Linked DNA regions of Notamacropus eugenii. The protein of the gene in region 1 purifies or fractionates together with the protein of each later gene. This does not show direct contact. Links are inferred from orthologs where the notes say so. Each region holds a gene or a part of one and is shown on either strand. Other genes may lie near its edges.

Region 1 (7,743 bases):
GAAAAGTGTCAATAATTAAAATATTCTAACAGTCATCTCCAACACATGTAGTATATTTCACAAATATCTGCTGAATTGAATGTAGTTTTTCAGCTGAACAGGGGACCTCTTTTTCAAAGTACCATTTGCTACAAGACTTGCTCTTAAAAGTAGTAAAAGTGATCTGAATGGGGAAATTATCAAGATGACATTTCTAAAAAGCATTCCTGTTTTATTTCTATGCCACCTAGCCCTAATCAATCAAGATTACAAAAAAATAATAAACTATAGAGTAAGTTCTTTGAGGGGAATACAAATTCCTAACATCTATACAGTACTTTGCATATATTATTTAATGTGATCCTTAGCAACAATACTGTGAAGTAGGTAGTATTATTGTCCATATTACAAACAGATAAACTGAAGCTAAGGGGTGGGGTAAGTTGAGTGACCTGCCCTGGGTCTAAGACAGGAAGTGAACTCAGGTCTTCCAATCTATCCAGGGCAGTAGTGACTGGTCTTTTACATTTTTACTTTTATATCTCCTATGTCTAGCAATATAGCTCATGTAACTGGCATTCCATATTTTATTTCATAAACAAAATCAATAAAAGTATTACTGTTAGATTTAAATAAACTAAACTGATCTAAAACCTCTAGTTTTAATTTTTAGAGTATCTTAAATTATTTCCTCCTCTAGTAAAATGCTGCTCTGATACCTAATCTTGGCATGGAAGTAATGCTGGGTTTTCAAGGGCTACGCCAGGGAAGGCAAGCTCTGGCAAGCGAAGTTTCAAGTAACAGGCCTATCGAGGAACTTCGAGTTGTACAAGAGTTTTTCTAATTAATTTCATAGAGGTTGGAGGCTCATTACCAGAAAGCTGATTGATCACTAGATTTTTGTGGTCTCAGCAAACTTAGGACGACTTTTAAAGAATGAAGGAATTGTATTCTATTTTGATAGAAGGAGCACATCACAAATCTTTTGAAGTCAAGTTACTCATTATGACTAAATGTGGAACTGACCAGGGGTAGTTGGTTAAATAAAAAAAAATGCCATGTATTAATTTGTCACAAGAAACTTGTTCTCAACAGTAAAGAAAAATGAAACTGAATAGGCTAAAAAAACTTTGCAAGATTAATTCAAATTTCTTAACTAGTTAATCACAGGAGGACCCCAACCTCATGATTAAGATAAATTTATTTTATTTTCCACACCCACTTACTCAACATGTTTTCCAGAACTAATTGTTTTCCTTCAAAAGGTTAAACTTATCTTACCAATGTACAAGTTCCTAGTTCTACCATTTTAATATTTGACTAGGAACTCCTTCAGAATATTGCTTTAAAATTTTATTATCATAAAAATTCACGAGCCTTTCGATTTTTGTATTTCAATCAGACATCTTAAGCCAGTTCAAGAATCTAAATTTCAAATAGAAAGCTAGGTATTAATAAAACCATCACTAACAGAGGCACAAAGTCAAAACCCAAATATAGATCTCAAAAAAACTCACTAAGCTAGCAGTAATTAATTATTGGAGAGTATTATTAAGCAACAAAAACATTCAAACACAACACTGGAAAATGTATTCATTTGTTGCAGAAATTTCATGAGGCTAATAGCATTTTTCAGGAGTCCTGACCAACTCTAAATTGCACAAGCAATACTGTGATACACAATTTTGTTCAGATTACACTGGAATATTTGTTTCTTGGGGGGGGGGAGTTGAGGGGGAAAATAAATCGCATAAGGCAAGTCTTGTCTTCCCATAAACCCAGCAACACTACAAACTGTAATGAAATGATATGCCTTGAGTCACAGGGATCAATTTTTTCCTCAGGAAGCTTGTTCTACTGCATCCCATTGGGCTAAAATCAGTTTTCTGGACATCTTACTGTGTTCAAAATAAATTCACTCTCATCTTCTTTACCACAAGTACATTAAGAGTTTACCGAAAGAACAGCAAAAACCAAGGCTTCCTTGAAGCAAAAACTACTTAAGTACAGGAACTGAGACTACAAAAACCCTGTATATAAAATTTTAGACCACCTAATAGATCAATCACCTTCACTGCAGTCTGCTAACCCTAAAACATTATCAACCTTAACGACAGTTATATTTTTAAAGTACTCACCTAGCTCTCAATAAGCTACTTCGATTTAGGAAATGGAGTTATTATAAATCACCAGAAACACACTTTAAAAGAAAAATAATTTTCTACCTAACCTACAAGGGAGGGCGGAAGGCAGGCATTCTGATTCAGAGGTTCATCTCATGAACTTTAAGTTCTGCCTAAATCCAAACTGGGTTTTTGAATTGAGCAAAAGGGTGGAGCCCACTTTTTCCCTTTGGGTTGGGTAAATCAATCCCTCGCTTCCAAAAAAAAAAAAAAAAAAAGAGGGCAGGACCCCGGAGCACAAACTAACACCATCCCAGGCACAAGAAGTGGGAGAGGCTGGCGGCCTCTCCCACCCAGCCCTCGGGGAAGGCAGTGAGAACAGTGTCCGGGCGGGGGAGGAGGAGGGGCTCAAGAGAACCCCCCCAACTTGAGGACGGGATCCTTAGAGGCCGAGCCTAACCCCAAGGGCCCAGGCCCCACCGGGAGTCCGACCCCGGGACGGTCCACAGCCGCCCCACCCCGGGGTATCTCCAACGCTGGCCCGGCCCAAGCGATCCAGCCGCCACCCTACAGGAAGCCCCTCCGCGGGCGGCCGGACACCCCGACCTCGGGCTCGCGAAGCGGGGCGCCCGCCGTTCCGCCCCACCCCGGACACCCGGCGGACCCCGCCCCCGCACGCCCCCCAGGGTACCCCCCCACCCCCCGGCGGAGGTCGAGCCCGCGCCCCCCGAGAGCAGGAAGCCGCGCGGGAGGACGAGGGGAAGGCTGCGGGCGGGGGTGGGGGGAAGGGGACTTACCCGTCTCCTACCACCACACACTTGATGGCCTGCATCGGGGCGGCTCGCGGGGCTGCCGCGGAGGCGGCGGCGGCGGAGGTGGAGGCGGCGGCTGCCGGGGCTGCCCGGGAGCAGAAGGGGAGGACCGCCGGGCTCCGGGCGGGATGGGCTCCTGACAAGGCGGGGGAAGGCCCCGGGAGCGGCGGTACGTGGAGAGAGGGGGGACGGGGACCGCAGTCCACGCCGCCTCGCCCCTTAGCCGACTAGAAGGCGATCTCAGGCAGCAGCCACCACCCAAAGCTGGAGGAAAACTGCAGAGAAACAGGAAATGGCCGCTCCACTCACATCCGGCCTCCCCTCCCCCTGCTCCTTCCCCGCCGTCGCGGCCGCCGCCGCGGCCGCTCCCTTCGCCCTCCCCATCTGGGCGGGGCCAGCCCCTCTCTACTTTCCTTCTCCCTCTCGCTTCCGCTCTTTCCGGCCCGAGCCCCGCCTCCAATTCCAGGTCCCGTTTCGGAAATGCTCGGAAACGCTCGCCTCCCGCGCGACTGGAGATTCGCGCGCGGCCTCGTCCCGGCGCGGGCGGGGGCGCGCGGCTGACGGGAGGAGGTTGGGGGTGGGGAAAGGGAGAAGACGGGCCGCCATGTTTGTGCTACTGACCTAGTCAGAACTTGTTCCCCGGCAGGACCGCGGGACTGGAGGGAAAAAAGGACCGCTTGCGCCCGCGCCCCTGATTCCCGTAGACCTCGGGTCTTCCCTGCTTGTTTTTTTGTTTTGCCTTTTCTCGTTTCCCCCTTTTCCCGCGGGTCAGAGTTTTGGGAATGAGAGGGCGGAGGCCGAGCGAGCTGAGGTTGGATTACTGCCGTACCCTCCTTTAGGCGCGGGAGCAGGTATTTCTGACAGAGAGTTAGGGGCTGTAGCTTTGGGGTGAGCGGCCTGATTCCACCCCGACTGCCAGAAAGTTACTTAACAAACCCCCCCGGCCTCAGTTTCCTCATCTGTAAAAGCAGGTTGAGCCGGGCGGGCCCCAGGGCTCGGTCCTAGAAGCGGGCTCCGTGACTGGGGGACAAGCGGGTACAATGGGTAGGTAACAGGCCGAGGAACGTGGAAGGCAGCGCGCTTCCCGGGACTGCCGGGGCCGGCGAGCGGGGAGGCTGAGAGACGGGCACCATGCCGGGTACAGGGTCACTGGTAACGGACTGGGAAGAGGCGCCGTGCTGGCACCCCGGCCATCCCGCCCTGGGGGGGAGTTGGATTGGAATTATCTCCCGCCTCCAAACTCGTGGCTGCCCAGTCAAACTTGTGGGAGCTTACCTGCCGGCGGCGCCCCCCTCCCCCCACTTCCTCCCAATGGGATGGATCCCCTGCTGGGATCGGACTTTAACGTGCCTAGAGGTACTCCTCAAACACTGGAACTTCCCAGCCCCTCCGTGCCACCTCAGCTGGGCACGGAGGTGGGGATACCCTCGAGTGCTCCGCCTGCGTGGTTATCCGATAATGATCTTCTAAGTTATTCTTTATTTCCCTCTGGCTTATCTAAACCTGTTCCTTGGCTTCACTGTGACTTCTAATCCCTTCCAGGGGTGGGGACCACCCCTAGATCCTTGGGGGAGACCTTTTGACTGAGTCCCAGTTGTAGAGAACAAATTTAATTTATTTGATTTGATTTATTTTATTAAGGGGATGTGTTCTGTGAAGTTTGGATTCAGTCAAAGGGCTGAACTTGAGGTTCCCCACCCCAGATTTAAACCATTCCTTTGCCCCTTTATCTTATCACTGTTTCCTACATGGCCAAGACCCAGCTTGGGATCAGTTCTATTGTCTGCTACTTGTACTTACTCAAGTGTTGGCAAACAAAGCTGGAGAAAATCACAACTGTGCTGACTGGGTGTACTGCAGATTTGTGTGACTTAATCTCAAATGGTCCTCCGCTGAGTGAGATATCCCCTTTACACCTTCCTGATCACTGCTGCTAGGCACTCTTACTTTACCTTCCTTATCAATTCACTATCTCACTCCCCACTGTTACTCTTCCAAACCTTTCCATCTCTTGTCAAACCTCCATGGCCCCCTCTGCCCCCACTCTCTCAGCTTTGAAACTTTCTTTATATTTTACAGAAAAAATTGAGGCCCTTAAACATGAGCTCCCTCTTTTCCCCTCTCCCTCATCTCTTTTCCATTGGGTACCTTCTTCCTCTCTCTCCTCCTTCATTTCTGTCCCACATTTAAGGCTTTAGTCCTTACCAAGGCTAACCCCTCTACTTGTTCAAGTGATCCCATTCCATTCTGTCTCTTCCAATAGATTTCCCCTCTATCATCCCTGCCCCATCACTTATTTTCAGCCTCTGTCTACTGGCTCATTCCCTACTGTCTACAAATATTCCTGTGTCTCTCCTGGCCTGAAAAGGATCCAGTTGATCCTTCCATCTCTGCTAACTTTCATCCTATATCTCTTCTGCCCTTTGTAGCCAAATTCCTCATAAAGTCCATCTATAATAGGTGTGTCCACTTTCTGTCTTCTCACTCCCTTCTTAACACCTTATAATCTAGCTTCTGGCCTCATTATTCCTCTGAAACTGCTCACTACAAAATTGTCAGTGATCTCTTAATTGCTAAATCCAAAGTCCTCTTCTCAACCTCATTCTCCTTGACCTCTCTGCAGCCTTTGACACTATTAATCACCCTTTACTCCTTGAGTATATACTCTGTTTTACGTAGGTTTTCTCTCTCTTGGTTCTCCTCCTACCTGTCAGATCACTCCTTTGTCTTATTTGCTGGCTTCTCATCCAGATCAAGCCTTCAAACTGTAGGTATCCCTCAGGGTTCTGTCCTGGGCCCTCTTCTTTTCTCCCTCTATACTTTTTCACTTGGTGATGTCAATTAACTGTCATGGAATAATTACCAAATCTATGCTGATGATTTGCAAATCTACCCATCCTGCCCCAGTGTCTGCTGACTACCAGTCTCACATCTCCAGATATCTCTCAGACATCTTAAACTTGATGTCCAGTAGATATCTTAAACACATATCCAAAACAGAACTTACTATCTTTCTCCCTAAAACCTCACCTGCTGCTACCTTCCCTATTACTCAAGAGGACAACACTATTCTCCCAGTTCCTCAGGTTCAAAACCTAGGGCAACCTAGGTGTCATCCTTAATTCCTCACTATCTTTTATACAACTCCCCCCATGCCATTTTTAATCTGTTGCCAAGACCTGTTGATTTCACCTTTGCAACATCTCTTGTATATATATTCTTCTTTCCTCTGATACTGCCCCCACTTTAGTTCAGGTCTCATTATCTCATGTGTGGTCTACTGGAATAGCCTGCTAGTGAGTTTACCTTCCTTAAGTCTCTTCTTACTGCAATCCATCCTCCTCTATTCAACCACCAAAATGATTCTCCTAAAGCACAGGTCCGATTATGTTACTCCCTTCCTCCACTCAACAAAATCCGATGGCTCCCTTATTGCCTCCATGACCAAGTATAAAATGCTCTGTTTGGCATTCAAAGTCCTTTATAACCTAGTTTCATATACCTTATTCCCCAACATGTACTTGTCAATACAGTGACACTGGCCTTCTGACTCTTCCACAAACAAGACACCTCCAGCTCCAGGCATTTTCTTTGGCTGTCTTCCATGCCTCCTCCACTTCTGCCTACTGATTTCTCTGGCTTCCTTTAAGTCCCAGTTAAAATCTCATCGTTTACAGAAAGCCTTTCCCAACCTCTCTTAATTTTAATGCCTTCTCTTTTTTAATTATTTCCTGTTGGTCCTTTATGAAGCTTGTTTGTATAAGTTTGCATATTGTCTTCTTAATTAAATTGTGAGGACAGAAACTGACTTTTGCCTCTTTTTTCATCCCCAGTACATACATCCCCTTATGTACTGGCACATAGTAGGTACTTAATAAATATTGCTTGCTTGCTTAATGAGAGAAGACCCTTAAGCAAGATGAAATGTAAATTTGGGCAATAGCTAGTAGCCTGGTTTGGTAGGAAATTAAGGATATGAAAGAGAATAGTATAGAATAAGGCTGAAAAGGTAGATGAGAGCCAGATTGTGAAGGAATTTAAATGCTGAGAAGTTCTTATTTTATTCTAGAAACAAAAATCAGGAGCTGTTGAAGATTTTTTTGAGCAGGGGAATGATACAGACAGACTTATGTTTTGGGAATGTTAATTTGTCCACAAATGCTATGGTGAATGCATTGGAGAGAGGAAAGGCTAGAAGAAGGAATACTGGTTAGGAAGTCATTGCAGTAGTAGTATAAGACAAGTAATGAGAGCCCAAACCTGGACCGTGGCTGTGAATAGAAAGAAAGGGATGTATGTAAGAGATATTGTAGAGGTAGAATCCACACAACTGCAAAAGGCATGGAAGCTAACTGGGCTCATTGATTTTTTGTGTTTGTTTTTTCATCATTCTCTTTTTATCCAATAAAGCTACCATTCTAATTAAAAGAATTTGGAAAAAAAAATCAGGGCAGCTATACTGCACAGTGGATAGAGTGCTGGGTCTACAGTCAGGAAGATTCATCTTCCTGAGTTCAAATCTGGCCTCAGACAACTTACTAGCTATATGACTCTGGGCAAGTTGCTTAACCCTGTTTCAGATTCTTCATCTGCAAAATGAGCTGGAGAAAGAAATGACAAGCTACTCCAATATCTCTTCCATGAACATTTCTAATGGAGTCAGGATGAATCAGACACAACTGAAGAACAACTGAACAGCAACAAGATAGTTTCTGAAACAAAATGAACCAGGTATTAAGCAGTCTCTCTACTGGGTGATAGAGTTAGCAAGAGTGAAACAATCTACTTGCAATGAACTTTTGTTCTTTTTCAAAAATTCAGTTTTATTT
Region 2 (8,328 bases), on another chromosome or scaffold:
GGTCTCCTTGGGGCTGATAGTGGCCCAAGGCCTTATGGTACCATGCCAAGGCTTGAGACAAATCACCCAAGGCATGGTAGGCCAAGGCTACATTGAAGCACTGGTCACCATGGCAAGCGCCCTTGGTCTTTTCCTCTGGCTTAGCCCAGAGAAATATCTGGAGACCACGTGCAGGGTCTCCAGTCTCCACATAGGCTGCTCCAAGATTGAAGGCGCAGGCACGGAGGACCCTGGTGCCCCTGTCTCCCTGGGCCTCCAAGGCCAAAAGAAAGGCTCGATGAAAACTAGCTAGGGCTTCATCATTTCGGCCATCCCTCAGAGCCCCATGCCCAGCTTGGGTGAGGGTCTGGATACTGGCTTCCAGATGCTTCTTCTTTTTCTTCTTCTTCTTGGCTGGCCATGCTTCAGTCCCTGGTCCCAGGGAGTTGTCCTCAGAGGCAGGAGAAGGCATAGAACTGACAAGATAGCAAAAGGAGTTGGTTAAACAACCACAATTACTTTCAAAGAAGGATCCCTTAAGCTCAGTTCTGTCCCTGGCCAGTTATGACCCTCCCATGATCTAAAATGTCCTCCCCAACTGCAGTTGCAACTTGTCTCTAATTGTTTATCTGGTAGGGAGAGCCCAGAGAGTAGTGGTATAAAGGGTGGAAAGTATAGTGGTCTTGAAGTCAGAAGTCAGGTTCAAATTCCAGCTTCAAAACTAATTAGCTGGGAATTTACTTAACCTTTTAAAGTCTTATATTTCTTCCCCAACCTGTAAAATGGCTTGCTTTGAGTAGAGGTCTTTGTCAACTTCCAAACATCATAGAAGTTTGAACTTTTGTTATTATTAGATGACAGAATCTAAAGCTAGATGAAACTTTAGGCAACTAGGTGGCTCAGTGGATAGAGCATTGGGTCTGCATGAGTCAGGAAGAACTCAGTTCAAATCCAGCTTTAGATACTTACTACCTGTGTAACCCTGAGCAAGTCACTGTAGCACTGTTTGCCTCAGTTTCCTCAACTGTAATGGGGATGATAATAGTACCTACCTCCTACTTTCCAGGGTTGTTGTGAAGATTAGATGAGATATTTGTAAAGTGCTTAACATAGTTCTTGGCACATCTTATGTGCTATGTAATTGCCTATTCTCTTCTTTTCCTCTTGTCTCCAGTTATCTAGGCTAGTCTCCTTGATGGACCCTCTCCTCCATAATTAACCTTAGTTTCTTAATCTCTAGTCATTCCTCCAGGCTGTGTTTTCAGAGGACCATAACATCAGGAGAATGATGACATGACTTGCAGTTGACTTTGATTTGAATGAGGGAGGACTGAGCTCCCCGAATGGGAACCCAGCTAGTTGGGTAACTCAGATCATCATCTTCCCCTCCCTCTCTACCTCTCCCTCCTCTCTCTCTCTCTCTCTCTCTCTCTCTCTCTCTCTCTCTCTCTCTCTCTCTCTCTTTTCAAAGACCAAACCTTAAACCCATTTCACTCAGGAACTCACAGATTAGACCACAATAGCTCCCTGCCCAAGCTTTGGGCCCCCTTGGCTCAGAGTAAACAGCAATGTAACTGTTCCTCTTTTGATCAGCAATCCAGAGGATCTTCCCCTCACAGTTCTTTCTTTCTTTCTTTCTTTTTTTTTAATTAAAGGGGTCATCCCTTGATTCACTTCTTACAGAGGCCTATTCATTGAATGGGCATCACCTCACTCAAAGTAAGAACCTGAAAAGACCTTACCCTATAAAGGGCCAGGGTCTCCCACTGCATCCTGGGCCATCTCAAGTCTTCCTGATGAATAAATATCTGGCCACTGGACACAGATGGCTCTGGAGGAGAAAGTGAGGTTGGTGATTTTGCACAGTGCTCCCACACTCAAATCAAAGTCAGCTGCAAGTCATGTCATCATTTCCCTGATGTCATGATCCTCTTCAAAAACAGAAGGACCAATATAACATTCCTCCCTACCTTCCCCACCCCACTACTCCCCATACTGTCTAAAGGCTAATCATTATCTTTCCTGCTGTAGTATCAGCCAAAACATGGAGACCAACGATGCTGAAGCCCCCTTTTTCCTGAAGAAGAATCTCCCTTCAGATCCCCAAATGCTACTTTTCCTTCCCCTTTCTCTTTGTTTTTTTCAATACAATCTCTGTCCTTTAGGTCTCTCCTGGTCTGTAACAGCCAAGAAATAGTAGATCTGGAAGGAACCTTAAAGATGATCTCATTCAATCCCCTAAATTTATAGATGAGAAAAATGAGACACAGAAAAGTGAAAGAAATTTCCCAAGATTAGCTAGGTACAAAGAGCTAAACTTGCCTTACCATCCTGGCCCCCCAGGACTTTATCCAATAATCTTAGAACCACAAGGTACTTCAAGGTAAGGGTCACATTAACCATGCCTCTGTCTCTATAAAGGATTCCCCTCATTACACATTACTGGGATCTAAACCCAGGTGCTCTGATTCTTTCCATTCTATTCAGCTTCTGTTCACACTACTTTCAGCTTACCTTACACCCTGGAACCCAATTATTGTTCAGTCATTTTTCGTGTCTGACTCTTCGTGACCCCTTTAGGCATTTTCTTGGCAAAGATACTGCAGTGGTTTGCCATTTCCTTCTCCAGTTCATTTTACAGATGAAGAAACTGAGGCAACAAGGTTTAAGAGACTTGCCCAGGGTCACACAGCTAGTAAGTGTCTGAGGCCAGATCTGAACTCACAAAGATGAGTTTTCTTGACTCCAGGCCCCCACTGTGCCACCTAGCTGCCAAGTATACCCAAGAACCCAAGTAAAGAATACATCATAATCATATATTTCCTTAGCACCTCTCTCTGAGGATCTCAAAACCACTTATTTCACCTTACCTAGATTCAAAAGATGAAAAATGAGGCAAAGAGAATTCAGTTACACAATTGTGACTCCCAGTTCCTTTCCATTTCTCCTTCCTATGAGAAAGATCTGAAGAGGGAACCAGGGTATTCTATTCACACACACACACACACACACACACACAATTTCTTGCCTCTGTGATGGGTGGGCTTAGGAACATGGTCATCCAGCCTCCTGCCTCAAATGACCGAACTGTGCCCATCCCTAGGTCATCCTGTAGCCCCTTCACACAGCAGGTATTTCCCTACCTCTGGCTGCATTTGCCTTGGTGCTGCCGCCTCTGTAAGATGGCTTTGAAGACTTAGGTTACCTCTGCTCGAAGCCTGGGGCGGGGGTTGGGGGGAGGAGGGTGGGGTTGGTCACTGTGACAACCTACTAACACCCTCCCCTCCTAAGAGATTCCTTGATTGACAGTTTAGGTATCCTATCTGAGTTCTGATCCTTTGAGGTGGAGCTTTTTGCAAAGTCATGGGATACCTGAATTCTCATTAAAATTGTAGTTCCTCCCTTCTTACCTCTCCAGCCCTACTTTGATTCTATTGTCTTTTCTCCTGGCCTCGGTTTCTTTCTCGTGGAAATAGCAGTTTAGAGTTTCCAGGTGGGGCCTTTTGGTCGAAAGTGGTTAGTGAGCTATAAAGGAGCCCTATGTCAATGGGTATTCATAGTCACAGCTGAATATTGCAGGGACTTGTGACTTTGCGGGTGTGGGTAATCCCTCCAACTAAAGCCCACCAATCCAATTCTTCCTTGACTTAGGAGATGGTCTTATAGAATTTCTGTGGCTAAAAAAATTACTTAAATAATTTTATGAATGCCCTTTTGCTTTTTCCCAATTTCTCCCACCCCCAAAGGAAAACTTCTCTTGTCAAGGAAAGCTAGGAATCCTTGACAAAGAGGAACTAGTGAATTCCACACCCATTATTATTATGCTCTTGGAAAAGACCAGACAAACTAACTGCCCTGAGGCAATACTCACAATACTCCATCTTCCTAGTACAGAAATTTCCTTCCCTGGCCTCTACTCCCCGAAGCTGATAGTAGAATGTAAACTACACAGCGCCTGGCACTTAGGGATAAAGATAGGCTCCGAATCTGGGCTTTCACAAACATAGGAAACTCCTACAAAGAAGGTCCTATACTTTGTCATTTATAGCTCTTAGTAAGTTGCCTTACCTGAAAAGTCCCAGTCAGAGCTGGAAATATATGTCAGTGATGAGACTTGAACTCAGGTCTTTCTGGCCGGAGGAGGGCTCTCCGACTTTTTATTATGCTGCTTCTCGGAGGTATTTATGATCGATTGATGGTCCCCTAAATTTCCAATGAAAAGAGGATGGTGCATTCCTTCACCATCGAAGTCAAGACTGAGCATTCTAACGACCTCACTTAATTATCTTTTTTGGTTTAAATTATTGTAGCTATTGTGTATATGGTCTTCCTGGTTCTCCTGGCTTTCCTCTGTGTCCCTTCATACTGATCACTGGAATGGACCTTTGTAGTTATCTAGTCCAAACTCTTCACTTAACAGTTGAGGAAACTGAGGCCTGAAGAGTGACTTGCCCAAGGTAGAGCCCATCTGGTGACCCCCCCTTCTCTGAAATCAGCTGGCTCCTCAGGCAGCAGACACTTGGAGATGGGGGCAGGAGGCCTGTGATGAAGAGGGGGCCTGGGGTGATGCAGAAGGGAAGCAGGGAGCTGGGGGGCACTGCGTGAGGGCTGGGGTTACCTTAAGGGGAGAAGGGCTGGGGAGGCAAAAGCAAGGAGGTGCAGGGACTAGGAGTCTATAGTGAGGAGGGGGCTGGAGACAATGGGAGGAAGGGAATGGCAAGAGGTACAAAGAGGAGGGGAAGGAAAGTGGCCAGCAAGACAACCGCGGTCCCCCGGGGCTGGAGTTTGAAGGTGTCTCTTCTCCTTGTGGGAGAGGCCGACGTGACTGGGAACTACAAATCCCAGCAGGCCCCGCGGCGCGGGCCGGAAGTATCCTGCCGAACTGTTGCAACTGGAAGGGGCGGTGGCGGCGGGAGATTCAAACCTGGGAACGGGAGCAGGAGCAGGAGCTGGAGCTGGAGCAGGAGGGCGAGGAGCATGGAGGCGAGCAGAGCAAGGCCCGGCGGGGCGGCCTGTGAGTGACGGACCGAGGGTTAGGGTCGAGAAGGGACGGGGCTGGCTGGGGTCTAGAGCCGTGTGGGGTTGGCAACCCTGGAAAGTCAACGAGCATTTATTAAACGCCTACTGTATGCCAGGCCCTGCGCTAAGGGCCCTCGTGCTATGCTAGAGCGCCCCGGAGACCGGGGTTCGAGCCCTATCTATGGGGTAGATACAGTGACTTGGAGTCCCCGACTCCGCCGTTTACCGGCTGGGTGGCTTTGGACCGGTCACTAACCCACCTGGAAAACAGGGCTGGAGGAAAACAGCAGGGCTTAGTCTGAGGGGACGTGGGAGCCTCCCGCTGGGCCGGGCTGCTGAGAACTAGGGCATCCTTTCGGGCGGAGGGGGGTCAGAGGTCCTCAAATCTAGTCCATCAATTAAAATTAGACAACAGCTTACGTAGTGACTGGGGGAATGATAACATTTAGTGCCTTAAAGTTTATAAAATGTGCTCTGTACAAGCATTTTACAGATATGGAAACTGAGGTTTGAACAGGAGTCGCAGGTTGTGCCAGACCTGAGACAGGACTGAACCCAGGTTTCTGGACTCTTAAGGTGGAGATCTTTATAGTTCCCTGTCTCCTGAGGATTCTGGGGTTTCGGTCTGGCCTCCTGGGTGGAAAGAAAACCCCTCCCCTTGCTCCCCTCTCTTTCCTCCAACAAATGTGTTTATTTTGGGGGGGCTCCAAAAAGTAAAGTCCATGAATCTGTAGAAGGAAGCTTGTGAGGGTGGCTTTAGACTTTAGGAAGTCTGGAAGAAAGAGTGCCATTTGTGCACACACACCCACACAGAGTCCTGCCCAGTTTTCAATTCATACCTCTGGAGTGAAGTCATTTACCAGCTTACTTTCCAGGCTTAACTGCCAACCTTTTTCTTTTTTGTTCCTCCCTTGGAGTAACTGATGGGTTTCTTGCCATTGGACTGTCATTTGGAATATGGTCCTGAGAGTATATTTTTAAAAACCTCATTTGACTGCCAATTCAAATTAAATTCCTCGAAGAGAAATTTGACAGTCAGCTAAAAATAATTAACCATAGAAATTAAGTGCTGGGTCAAAAATAAATCAACTGAACTCTGTTATCTACTTTTAGTTCACTCTTGAGCTCGTTATTCTTTGGAATCTTTTGGGTGGGAGCTTGTGGGTGGGGCAGGGTCTTAATTGTGTCTCCTAGAGTAGATCTTCAGAATAGTGGGATGAGGACTAGGGGAGTGGTGGGTTGGGATCCAAAGGGGCCTTGAGAAATATGGTTTTTGTCAGTGAAGATTTGGTGAATGATTTTCTATTTTGATTATTGGGGGATTTTTTTTTTGAAGATTGCTTGGATCTTGAATTTGTAAAATCAGACAGTCTTAGAGTTCAAATATAATACACTCCCTGTGCCAAATAAAATGCACTCCTACTTCATCTCTATCAAAATCTTTCTCTGTATTCAGCTTGGGTGCTCACCTCCTGCATGAAGCCTTCCCTGAACTCAGTTGTCTCCTTGATTTTTCTCCACAGTTTTTTCAAGGGGTATTCCTAAATGACAGATCTGAGCCTGTTCCTCCCCTCCTCAATCAACTCCAGGGTCTCCCTATTCCCTCTAAGATCAAATACAAACTTCTGTGTTTGGCATTTGAAGCGACACATATTCACAACCTGGCTACATACATCATTCCCCTTCACACACTCCAGTCCAGCTAAACTGGTCAAGCATGTTCCTCCACCTTCTTTCTTTGTGCCTTTTTACAGGTTGTCCCCAATGGATCTAATGCTCCCCTTCCTCACCTCTGACCCTTAGCATCCCTTGTTTCTTTCAAAATCTCAGCCAGGTGCCACTCCCTACATGAAGCCTTTCCGGATTCTTCCAGCAAAGTTACCTTGTATTTATTTGTATATAATTTCGTGTATATATGTGAATAAGTTGTCTGCCTCCTCTAGGATAGAAACTCCTTGAGGGCAAAAACTTTCATTTTTTTGGCTTTCTATCCCTAGCACAATGCCTGGCACATAAAAGATGCCTAATAAATGTGGATTTTTTAAAAAAAATTCTCTAGCTCTAGTGCCAGGTCATTGTGTCCTGAAGATATAACACATTTGATTAATGGTTGTTTAATTGAATTGAGATGTAATCTTAGAGGGCATTTAATCTAAGTCTAGCAGATATATACCCAATGGGTAGTCATCTAGCTTTAGCAAAAGCAAATATCATTTATCTCCTTGATCTGACATTTGAAGAAAGAGCCAGTTCTTGGGGAACTCTTAGTTAAGGGGAGCTAAGGATTCAAGTGACCAGAGCTCCAGCCATCCCTCCTGGAGGGTGGAGGAGGGATGGGAAGAGAGTGACAGGTAAGGAGGTAGGCAGGAAGAGAGTGATGGGTTGGAAGGAAACGTCTGAGAAGGTTTCCTAAAGGAGGAAACTGGAAAAAGTAGAAAATGAAACAAAAATAATTGGAAAAGTGAGAGAAGGACAAAGAGAAATGGCCTCTGAAGTCTAAGGGGGTAAAGAATATTGGGCCTGGACAAAGTAGTTTTTTCCCATCTGAACAGGGAATATAAACTAATCTGAGAGGACTCTAGTCTAGGGAATTGGAACTGGGTGGGTGAGTGTCAAGCAGGAACTTTTTGAGGTTTTCAGGCAGGGGAGGGATTACATCTGAGGAAGATGGTGAAGGATAGGAATCAGGCATCCTAGTGCTCTTTTGATCTGCCGCTGACTGTGTCATACCTTCCCCCTTCCAGATGAACGCCTCACTGCAGAGGAGATGGATGAACAGAGGCGGCAGAATGTTGCCTATCAATATCTCTGCCGCCTGGAGGAGGCCAAACGGTAAGTAGAGGTAGGCAGGAGGAGGCCAAGAGATAAAGGGAAGTGGGTAGAGGGAGACTAAGGAATGAGCGGAGGTGGGCAGGGTGATGTTAAGTGGGAATGGGGAAACCAAATTGTGAGTGGGCAGTGGGCAAGGGATGGCCATGGGGTCAGTGGAATTTTCAAGGTGTCATCACAAATATGCCTATCCTTCATCCTACTCCCTCTAGCCCAATCCCAGCTAAATTATTTGGGTTGATATCACAGCAACACCTGTTTCTTTCTCCCAGGAGATAAAAAGGGAGAAAAAAACATAGGCTAGAGACATAGTGATGTTGGGGTGATACACAGTGGTCATGGTTTTTGCTCAGTTCTCGGGCCATTTCAGAGAATTCCCTGGCATCCCTCAGTGAATAGGACAGGACTGAAGATGAGACTTAGGGGACCTGAAGGCTGCCTTCTTGCCTCTAAACTCTTCCATGTGAAAGGAAATTAATCCTACTCTGGTTGGCCCCAAAT
Region 3 (8,317 bases), about 260 Mb from region 1:
TTCCTGAATTCTACAGTGCTAGTGCTCTACCTAGCAACTGACCTTCTTATCAAAAGCCAAATAAGGGAGAAAAACTTAATAAAGTTTATCTTTATCCTCCTCTTTAAAATAATTTGAGATAAGTGGGTTTACGTTCTCTTCAATTTATTCAGAATTTAGCAGTTTTAATTTTCAGATTATTGCAAATTGCTTTTTTTTTTAATATTCCATACTCTGCTCTACCAGCAAAATCTTTAAAAGCTTCCAGTTACTACTTCCCTTTTGCCCTCATGCCAAGGGAATTAAGTTCAATATGCTCATTTTCCTCACATGTACAGAATAAAATGTTCCCCTTTTAAAATATGCTATTCATAAACACAAAGAGTTACAGAAATCTCACTCCTCCCAACTCCGATCCTCATGTAACAAGTCCTGGATGACTTGAAATGGTTTTATTTTAATCAGGTTTGCAGTCACAGGATTTTGCAGGGCAGTGGCTTTAGATTCTACTATCTTGAGCCAAGAGGTCTCCTTGGCCTTCTTGGTCCCAGAAAAGTAAGCCCTTTGCCAAGTAACAGTAATATGCACAATTACTCAATCCAAATGGGTCCTAACGATGCAGTCTTCTGACCACATTTGCTTAAAATGTGGTTAAAGTTTGCAATAATAGTAATAAACAATGCCGACTGTTGATAAAAGTTTTGACAGCTCACTGGTTTTTAACTAATGTTCTGCATGTATATGCGGAAGGATTCATTTTGGTCCATGAGATTCAGGAGCAGATTTATGTAAGAAATCATAAATGAAAGTACCGATTACAAAGTAGCTGGTTCCCCAGTGCGATGGACTCCAGGCTGTTGAGATTTTTGCACACTTACTGTGTGATTAAAAACTTAGAGCTTGGCATTTCACTGGAACACTCACTCCTTCCTGGTTCACAGCATTTTCACCCATTCTAGTATTTTCAAGAAAAACATTTATTTTAATTCAGGATCCTGTCAACTTTGTGTTTGTATTCCACATGCCTATAGGTATTTACAGTAGCGTCCTAAGAGTACCAATGTTCAAGTAGTTCTTCAAGGCATCAGAGTGGATGCAGACAGCCTTGCCTTAGCTAGAAGCAGCCTGCCTATGCAGTTCTCTGTAGTTAGGATGCCTGGCTACAAGTAGACTTCAGTGGAAGTTAAGGGGTTAGGGTTAGGCTGAAATCACCTGGCAAAGAGAAGGGGAAAATTCATTTTCTGCCTTTTCCATGAGCTTTCAGCGGATTACTCCTATCAGTCCCAGAGGTGGCAATATAATATAATTGATACCTGGGCTCCCAGTGCCCTCATCCATCAGTGCGACCCTGAGGGGGTCCTGCCTGAAGGACCTGTTCAGGTCACTTTCCCTCCAGCCCAGCCCAGCCCTTACCTTGACCACATCGTCATTGAGATGCTTGGGGTCTCGGTTGACCAGGTCGATCTCCTTGGTGTGCGCATCGTACATTTGCTTCTCGTTCATTTCGTCGGTCATGGTCTTATTGTTGGGTTTGTAGATGTTTCCCTGCTCCCGGATGGGCGCCGAATAGAGAAGCCCCTAGGGAGGAGGGGTGGGGGTGGTGGTGATGGTAGGGACGGGGAGGGGGGGGGGGGGGGTTGGAAATAAAAAAAAAAAGCAGAACAAGCGGACAAAAGTCAACCGGAGGTTGGGAAAGCTCTCAAGCTTAAGGAAGAGAGAAGGGTGATTCTTATTCTTTGGAAAGGCGGCGGCTGCAGCTGCGGCAAGTACTGCGACTTGCTCAGAGCAAAGTCAACTTCACGGGGAGACTGGCTTTTTAAAAGGATAGAAAAGACGACACCACACCCCTCGGTACCAGGCGGAGAAGCCCGACTCCCGCTCCTGCCGCCAGGGGTCATCTGCAAACGCAGCCCAAACGTCCGGCTCCCAAATCTCTCCTACTGCCCCCCCCTTTTACTCCCTCGCCTTCCCTGTATTCAGCGCCCCGTGTTTGGCCCAGAGAGCTCCGGCAGCCTTGGGCTCAACCCTGGTCCTGGCCCCACTTTAGGGCGCCTCACCTTACCGGGATTTCCTTACCTGCTTCGGTCGCCTCCCCCCAGTCTCTGACACCTGTAGCTTCCTCCCCTAACCCTGGATTTCTCCGATAGAGCGATGGGTCACTCACTGCTCATCGTCCCAAACCCCAGCCCCCATTAAACCGTGCACCTGCGGCCCCTCCTCTAGCATCCCACCTTAGCGCTCTCTGGACTGCTCTCAGGTAGCCCTAAAGCTTAGAGATATCTATTGCGGCCCACCCCCTCTCACCCCATTCACCCCAAGAGGTTACTCCCACCCTCACCTCCTAGAATTCACAGAATCTCAAGATCGAGCCCACCTCCCCACATCTCACCCGTCTCCCCTAAATTCCAATCGCATCTCCCCCGATTTAGCAGCAGCGTACCCCCTCCCCCTTCCGCTAACTCTGATAGGCGCCGCGGCCACTGACTTGGGGGAAAAAATTGTTCTGCATAAATGTGGGTCTGGGTTCTGGGGGGAGGATGAGCTGGGAGAAATCTCCCCTTTGCAAACTCCATTCCTAAGGAGTTTTTAGAGAGGGATCAAGGACTTGGGGGAGAGCAAACAGAGCGCGCGCCAACGCCCCAGTTAAGCTTTTCCAGACGCCAGGGTCTGGGTTCGGGTAGTGCTTGCCCAGAACTGCTGGATGAGGAAGCTACAGCCCCCGCAGCCCCTCCCGTCCCCCCGCGTTCCCAGACACTCCAGCCTCCCGCCCCAGCGCTATCAGCCGGGCAGCTGGTAAAAGGCGGGGGGGTGTAAGAGAGAAAACAAATAACGAAAAACCTCCAAGGAGGTGGATCTCTGTTCTGGCAGACGTAAAGTCGGGGAGCCCCCAAGGTTATCCCGTCCACCTCTTCCACCCCCCCCCCCTCCAGCAATTTGCTCGGTGATTTCCCTAAGAAAGCCAACCACAAACGGAGCAGATAGCCAGTTTGGGCGCTGCCCTCCCCCCAGCCCCGATTCCTCCCCGAAACTCCCCGGACCGACGCCCGCTCCTTAGCAGTGACTGTCGGAGGTCAAGAGGGAGAGCGGTAAAGAAAGGCAGTGGGAGCGCTCCCAGCAGCGGTTGGAGATGGCCGCGGCCGGCGGGCGCTCCCAGGGAGGGACATACGGCCGCAGGGCACCTCGTGCCCGGGGTGGGGGTGGGGGTTTGGGGCTTTGAGAAACTCCCCGAAGACGAAGCAAATCCTACCTCGGAGTCTATGTATTTGCCACTAGACATTCTGCCTTGGGTTTGACGGAGGGAGGTTCTGGTGGAGATTTCCCTGGGTTATAATTTAAGGGAGCTGAGGAAGGAAGATCCTGTATTATGGGAAGGGAAAAAAAAAGGAAAGAAAAAACATCTCGGTGGGGGTTGGGGGTGGGGTAGGTTAGGGAGGGGAGGTAGCTGCGAGTGAGAGAGCTGGCGGCGGGCCAGGGGTTTGTTCGGCTTGCTTTTGGCCAGGATGACAGCGGTGCTGGGTCTAGGCACATCCCCAATGACTCCGGGAGCAGCCGGGAGGGCCCGAGGAGGGAGGGGGGAGTAGGAGCGAGCGAGCTTTTTATCCATGTTTTACCGAGGCATTTATTTTAAACCTGGGGCAACATTTTCCCAGCCGTGTAGCCACCAAGGCGATCCAAGAGAGCCTGCTTGAAAAACAAGAATATTTTCCTGGTGCATCACACCAGCAGGAGGGTGTGAAGTGGAACAAGTTTAGTGAGGGATTCCCAAGAGGGAAGGGCACCTCCGGCAGAGGCAGAAGGCTTTAAGCGTGTCCTTGACCACTTCTGAGGGGCGAAATGCAAGGTCCTACCCCCACCCCACCCCTTTATCTCTCCTCCCCCAGGAAAAAGCGTTGTTCAGCAGCTTGGAAGGGGAAAGGTGATGAAAAAGGGGTGGAAAATTTTAGTTACATCTCCTAAACTGAAGCAAAAAGTCGGGGTGTTAGAGTGTGTATGCTTTCGGTGACCCTCGTTTACATATGTTTAGCCTCGTCTGGAAACTTGGTACCTTTGTACCACTTTGTAGAGCGAACCTATATATGTCCCCCCTGGCTCATTTCAAAGTGATGCAAATGTTGAACTGTTCTTTACTTTTATTGCTGATTTTCTCTAAATGAAGGGGAAAACACGCCACAGGTTATGCTATGTTTGTACGATATATTACAGTATTAGTCGTAACTAAAATAATATTAAAATAAAACCTGCGACTTTATTGCTGGGCTAGAGTTTGGATGGAGGGATGGTTACGATTTAGGATAGGGACTGGACTCGTGATTTTACTAGTTTAGGGAATTTTCTGTTGAGAAAAGCAGCCCCACACCTTTTTATGGTCTAAGACAGAGACCTAGGGCATTTAGAGGGTAAATGGCTTGCCCAGGAGTCATACAACCAGGAAGAGTCAGAGACTGTTCACTACTTATCAAATAAAATACATTTCCCTTCTATCATCTATCTATGTATCTATCTATGTATCTATCTATGTATCTATCTATCTATCTATCTATCTATCTATCTATCTGTCATCTATCTAATCTATCATCTCCCTAATTTATTAAGAGAAGGATACTTTACTGTTTTATAAGAAATGAAATAATGATGTCATCCAAATTGGGCTATTTTTTTCTTAAGACCTTTAGGACCCTTAAGCAATAAATAGAACTCAGCTGCAAAAACTAGAAAGAAATGCGTGCTTACATATTTAAACCCAGTTTAGCGAAAGTAAGAGTGATATATTTAACTGAAAGAAAAAATTCCATTGGATACTACCTAGAGAAAGGTACATGCAATTCAGTTCAGTGCAATATTATAAAATGACTACATGTCCTAAGTGCATAGAATGCTGAATTTGAAGTCAAAAGACCTGAATTCAAATCATGCTGCTAATACTGTGTGACTCGGGGCAAGTTATTTAACCTTTTATTGACTAAGACAACTTTTCCAGTTTTTAGATGGGTTGTCCTGGTGATTGAACTTCACTGATGAAACCACGTCATTGAGAGTGTGTGCTCAGCATCCAAGTTAGGTGCTATGGGAAGTTATAAAAGAAATAGCACTTATAGAATATAGAATATATAATCCATATACTGCCCTCTGGTAGATTATCATCTATTTGGAAAGAAGAGGATACTACTATACATGTAATAATCAGGGAATAATACAAGATGATATGGAATGCAAATAGCAAACCCCATGATAAAGTAATGTAAGAGAAGGGAACTGGACAAAGGGAATTCCTTCCATCACTAATCCCCAACACCCAGCACAGAGTGAATGTAATTACTAAATAGTAATTGTTTCTCTTTTACCCAGGAACCCTGAAGGTCTTCCCCTCCCAGTTTGATTTTTTTTTTTTATTAAAGGGGCCATCCCTTGAGTAACTACTTAAAGAAGCCTATTCATTGAATGGGTGTATCTCACTCAAAGTGAGAATGTGATAAGATCTTAGCCTGAAAGGACCAGGGTCTCACTTTGCTTGCTTGGCGTCCTCCAGTCATCCTGATGAATATCAGGCCACTGGACCCAGATGGTTCAGGAGAAGAAAGTGAAGTTGGTGACCTTGTACAGCCCTCCCTCATTCAAATCAAAGTCAACTGCAAGTCATGTCCTCATCTTGATGTCATGGTCCTCTTTGAGAACTAAGGACAAACACAACAACAACAAAAACAACTACATCAGGAAAATAAGAGGTCAGAGGGGTCTAGGATATTAGGAAAGGTTTCATGGAGAATGTTATTAGGAGGAGGTGTTACTTGAGTGAGGCTGCATAATCTCTTAAATGATTCTGATTTCTCTAAATCCTAGGCTTTATTAATTTTACCCTTGTACCTTGTATCTTTTCCTGCATGGCCAAATTGTCTATTTCTCACAAACGTGTATAAGCTGCTGTAAAAGAATCATATCTAGTTCATGTAAATGTGTCACATAATATTTAGCATAAACAACATAAATGTGTAATGTTATCTATTTATTATAGTATTTCCTAAATTAATATCAGTACTAATAGCAGAACTAATAGTTCCTTCGAACACATTTTTTTGTAAAATAATGTTCAATGGAAAAAATGTTGAAACCATTTTCCATCTATTGTTCCCCAAACTTCAGCTGTGATGAGTAATCTTGGTTATAAAAAGTCAACAGGAACATGAAATGAGCCTGTTCCTGCATTCCAACAGAGGAACTCTGCTTTCTGGGAGGGCCTCTTAGTGAATGTTTAAGTAATACAAAATTGAAGAATAATAATCTGACTGGGGAAGCCCATGCAAAACAGTCATAAATAGCCAAGCCATGAAATCATGATAATGATCAGTGAAGCACTGTCAATGCCAAGTGAATTACAAATGAGCAGAAAAAAAATATTGAACTCTGATTAGCATGCCCCAACAAGAAGAAGTTGAAGGTGTGTATAAATTGCAGAAGACAAACCCTACTTTCCTTATAATCAAAAACTTTGCTAAATAATTCCACCCTTTTAAGGGAAAAGAGGCTGTGATAAAGAATGCTTATGACTGGAGAGCATGACCGTGTTTGATGAATTATTAAAGTTACAGAGCTGGAATGATTCTTCTTTCTTGAAAACCCACAAGGATAACTTTAGGTATCTTTTGATTACTGAATAATGAATAGATGGCAGCTGATTTGTAAAGGAGATCCAACTTTGTTTTCAATAAGCAGTAGCACCATAGATCATAGATCACAGGATTTTAGAGTTGAAAGGTACTTCCCACATCATCTATTCCTACCCACTCATATAGATGAGGAAACTGAGGCCCTGAGGTTAATATTTCATTCTCTGTGAATGCAAATGGGCACTTTCTTTTCAATTTATGATCTTAGAGAATTGTCTGAAGCTCCAAGAGGGACACAAGGTCACAATCAATGTCAGGGACAGAATTTGAACTGAGATTTTTCTGACTTTGAGGTCACTGTGCCATGTTGCCACTATTACAATTTTTTAAAAATGTACATCAATAAATGACTATAAAAGAGGTGAACAATTTTGAGTACATATGCTAAATGTAGTTATGGAGATTATTTTTAAGTAATGGAGCCTGCCTGATTTAGGTGAAGTTGTTTGGTAGTTCTAATCTTTGGTATCCCACCAAGCCTTTTATCCACCCAAACTTTCTCTTCCATATCTTACCCTACATATTCAGCATTACTTTCTTGTCCTAAGTTGGGATCAAGTAAAATTTGCCAAAATGTTATCCGAAAATGAAACTGTTAGTTGAGAGCTTAAAGCATGACTACTCCCAGAAATATTTGCATTTTAAAGGAGATAATAAATTGGGGGAGGGTTTCAGGGAAGTCTGACTTGGGCCTACTATACTACTTCACTGATCAAAAGTCAGAGGCTCAGAAAGTATTTCCCTGAGGAATCCCCTATTTACAGGGCTACTTAGCACCATGGAGGCTTCTTTATCACAGGATTGGCTCCCATTGTCTACATCCTCAGTTCACAAAGGAGAAGTGCCAACCCCTATCTTCCTCTCCCCGGCTTGCTTCACACATTCTCAGCCAATTCTCTAAGGGAGTAGATACAAAATTGGAAATAAAAGCTTTGGCACACCAGCTCTGAAAGTTTGTTGGATTACAAAATAATAATGCATTTACATAATGATTTAAGGTCTTCAAAACACTTTCTTCACAACAGTAGACACTGACAGTAGCATTAACCTCATTTGAAAGCTGAAGAACCTGTGGCTCTGAGGAGTGAGATGATTTAGGAAAGGGAAATTGGCATAGGGGGACGGAGTATTGGCTTTGTCATTAGAAAAACTTGGGTTCAAATCCTCTGATACAAGATTTATGAGCATGATGGAGTCATTTAAACTCCGTGAGCCTCGGATGTATATCCAGTAAAATAAGGGGGTAGGAATAGATAGCCTCTTAAAGATCTTCTGGCCCTAAGCCTATGATGATGTCCAGGATTGTATGAGTTACCCACAGTTCAATACCTAGTGAATGAACATTTGAAATGGCATCCAGACCCCAGGTACTGAGTACAGGTTTAGCCTTCCCCTCACTCTGCTGTGCTGACTCTTTGAAGACAGGTAAAATCCATTTCTGGGATAAATTCCAGGACTACATCAGAATTAAACTATCCTCTGAACTTCTTAAAGGGAAGACCACTCAAAATAGCTGTGTAGGAAATGGAACAGGCCCAAACAAATAGGCTTGATGAGGGGAGGTGTTCATAATAATCAAGATCCAGAATTCTCAAAGTGAATAGACTAGTTGGAGTTGTCAGACTGGCTCCTCATGTCTCTTTTATCTTCAAGAAATCAACTTTAGCTAATATGTT

What was found. Proteins that work in one complex are often made in the same cells at the same time.
Region 2: the proteins of RAC1 (region 1) and IQGAP3 purify together in Homo sapiens (affinity purification with mass spectrometry; 3 studies listed by BioGRID and IntAct, with this or other methods). This does not show direct contact. The link is inferred for Notamacropus eugenii from reciprocal best matches to the Homo sapiens genes RAC1 and IQGAP3.
Region 3: the proteins of RAC1 (region 1) and CAV1 purify together in Homo sapiens (affinity purification with western blotting; 4 studies listed by BioGRID and IntAct, with this or other methods). This does not show direct contact. The link is inferred for Notamacropus eugenii from reciprocal best matches to the Homo sapiens genes RAC1 and CAV1.

Annotation. Positions count from the first base shown.
Region 1 is NC_092874.1:396,154,134-396,161,876, reverse strand, and holds the start of RAC1 (ras-related C3 botulinum toxin substrate 1), read right to left. Parts: upstream 3,243-7,743; 5' UTR 2,935-3,242; coding exon 2,900-2,934; intron 1-2,899. UniProt on the Homo sapiens protein: Plasma membrane-associated small GTPase which cycles between active GTP-bound and inactive GDP-bound states.
Region 2 is NC_092873.1:380,719,847-380,728,174, reverse strand, and holds the start of IQGAP3 (ras GTPase-activating-like protein IQGAP3), read left to right. Parts: upstream 1-4,803; 5' UTR 4,804-4,956; coding exon 4,957-4,993; intron 4,994-7,742; coding exon 7,743-7,830; intron 7,831-8,328. Other genes in the region: TTC24 (tetratricopeptide repeat protein 24), read right to left, coding at 1-451.
Region 3 is NC_092874.1:136,584,245-136,592,561, forward strand, and holds the start of CAV1 (caveolin-1), read right to left. Parts: upstream 3,526-8,317; 5' UTR 3,257-3,525; coding exon 3,227-3,256; intron 2,573-3,226; exon of another isoform or gene 2,489-2,572; coding exon of another isoform or gene 2,465-2,488; intron 1,558-2,464; coding exon 1,393-1,557; intron 1-1,392. UniProt on the Homo sapiens protein: May act as a scaffolding protein within caveolar membranes. Forms a stable heterooligomeric complex with CAV2 that targets to lipid rafts and drives caveolae formation. Mediates the recruitment of CAVIN proteins (CAVIN1/2/3/4) to the caveolae.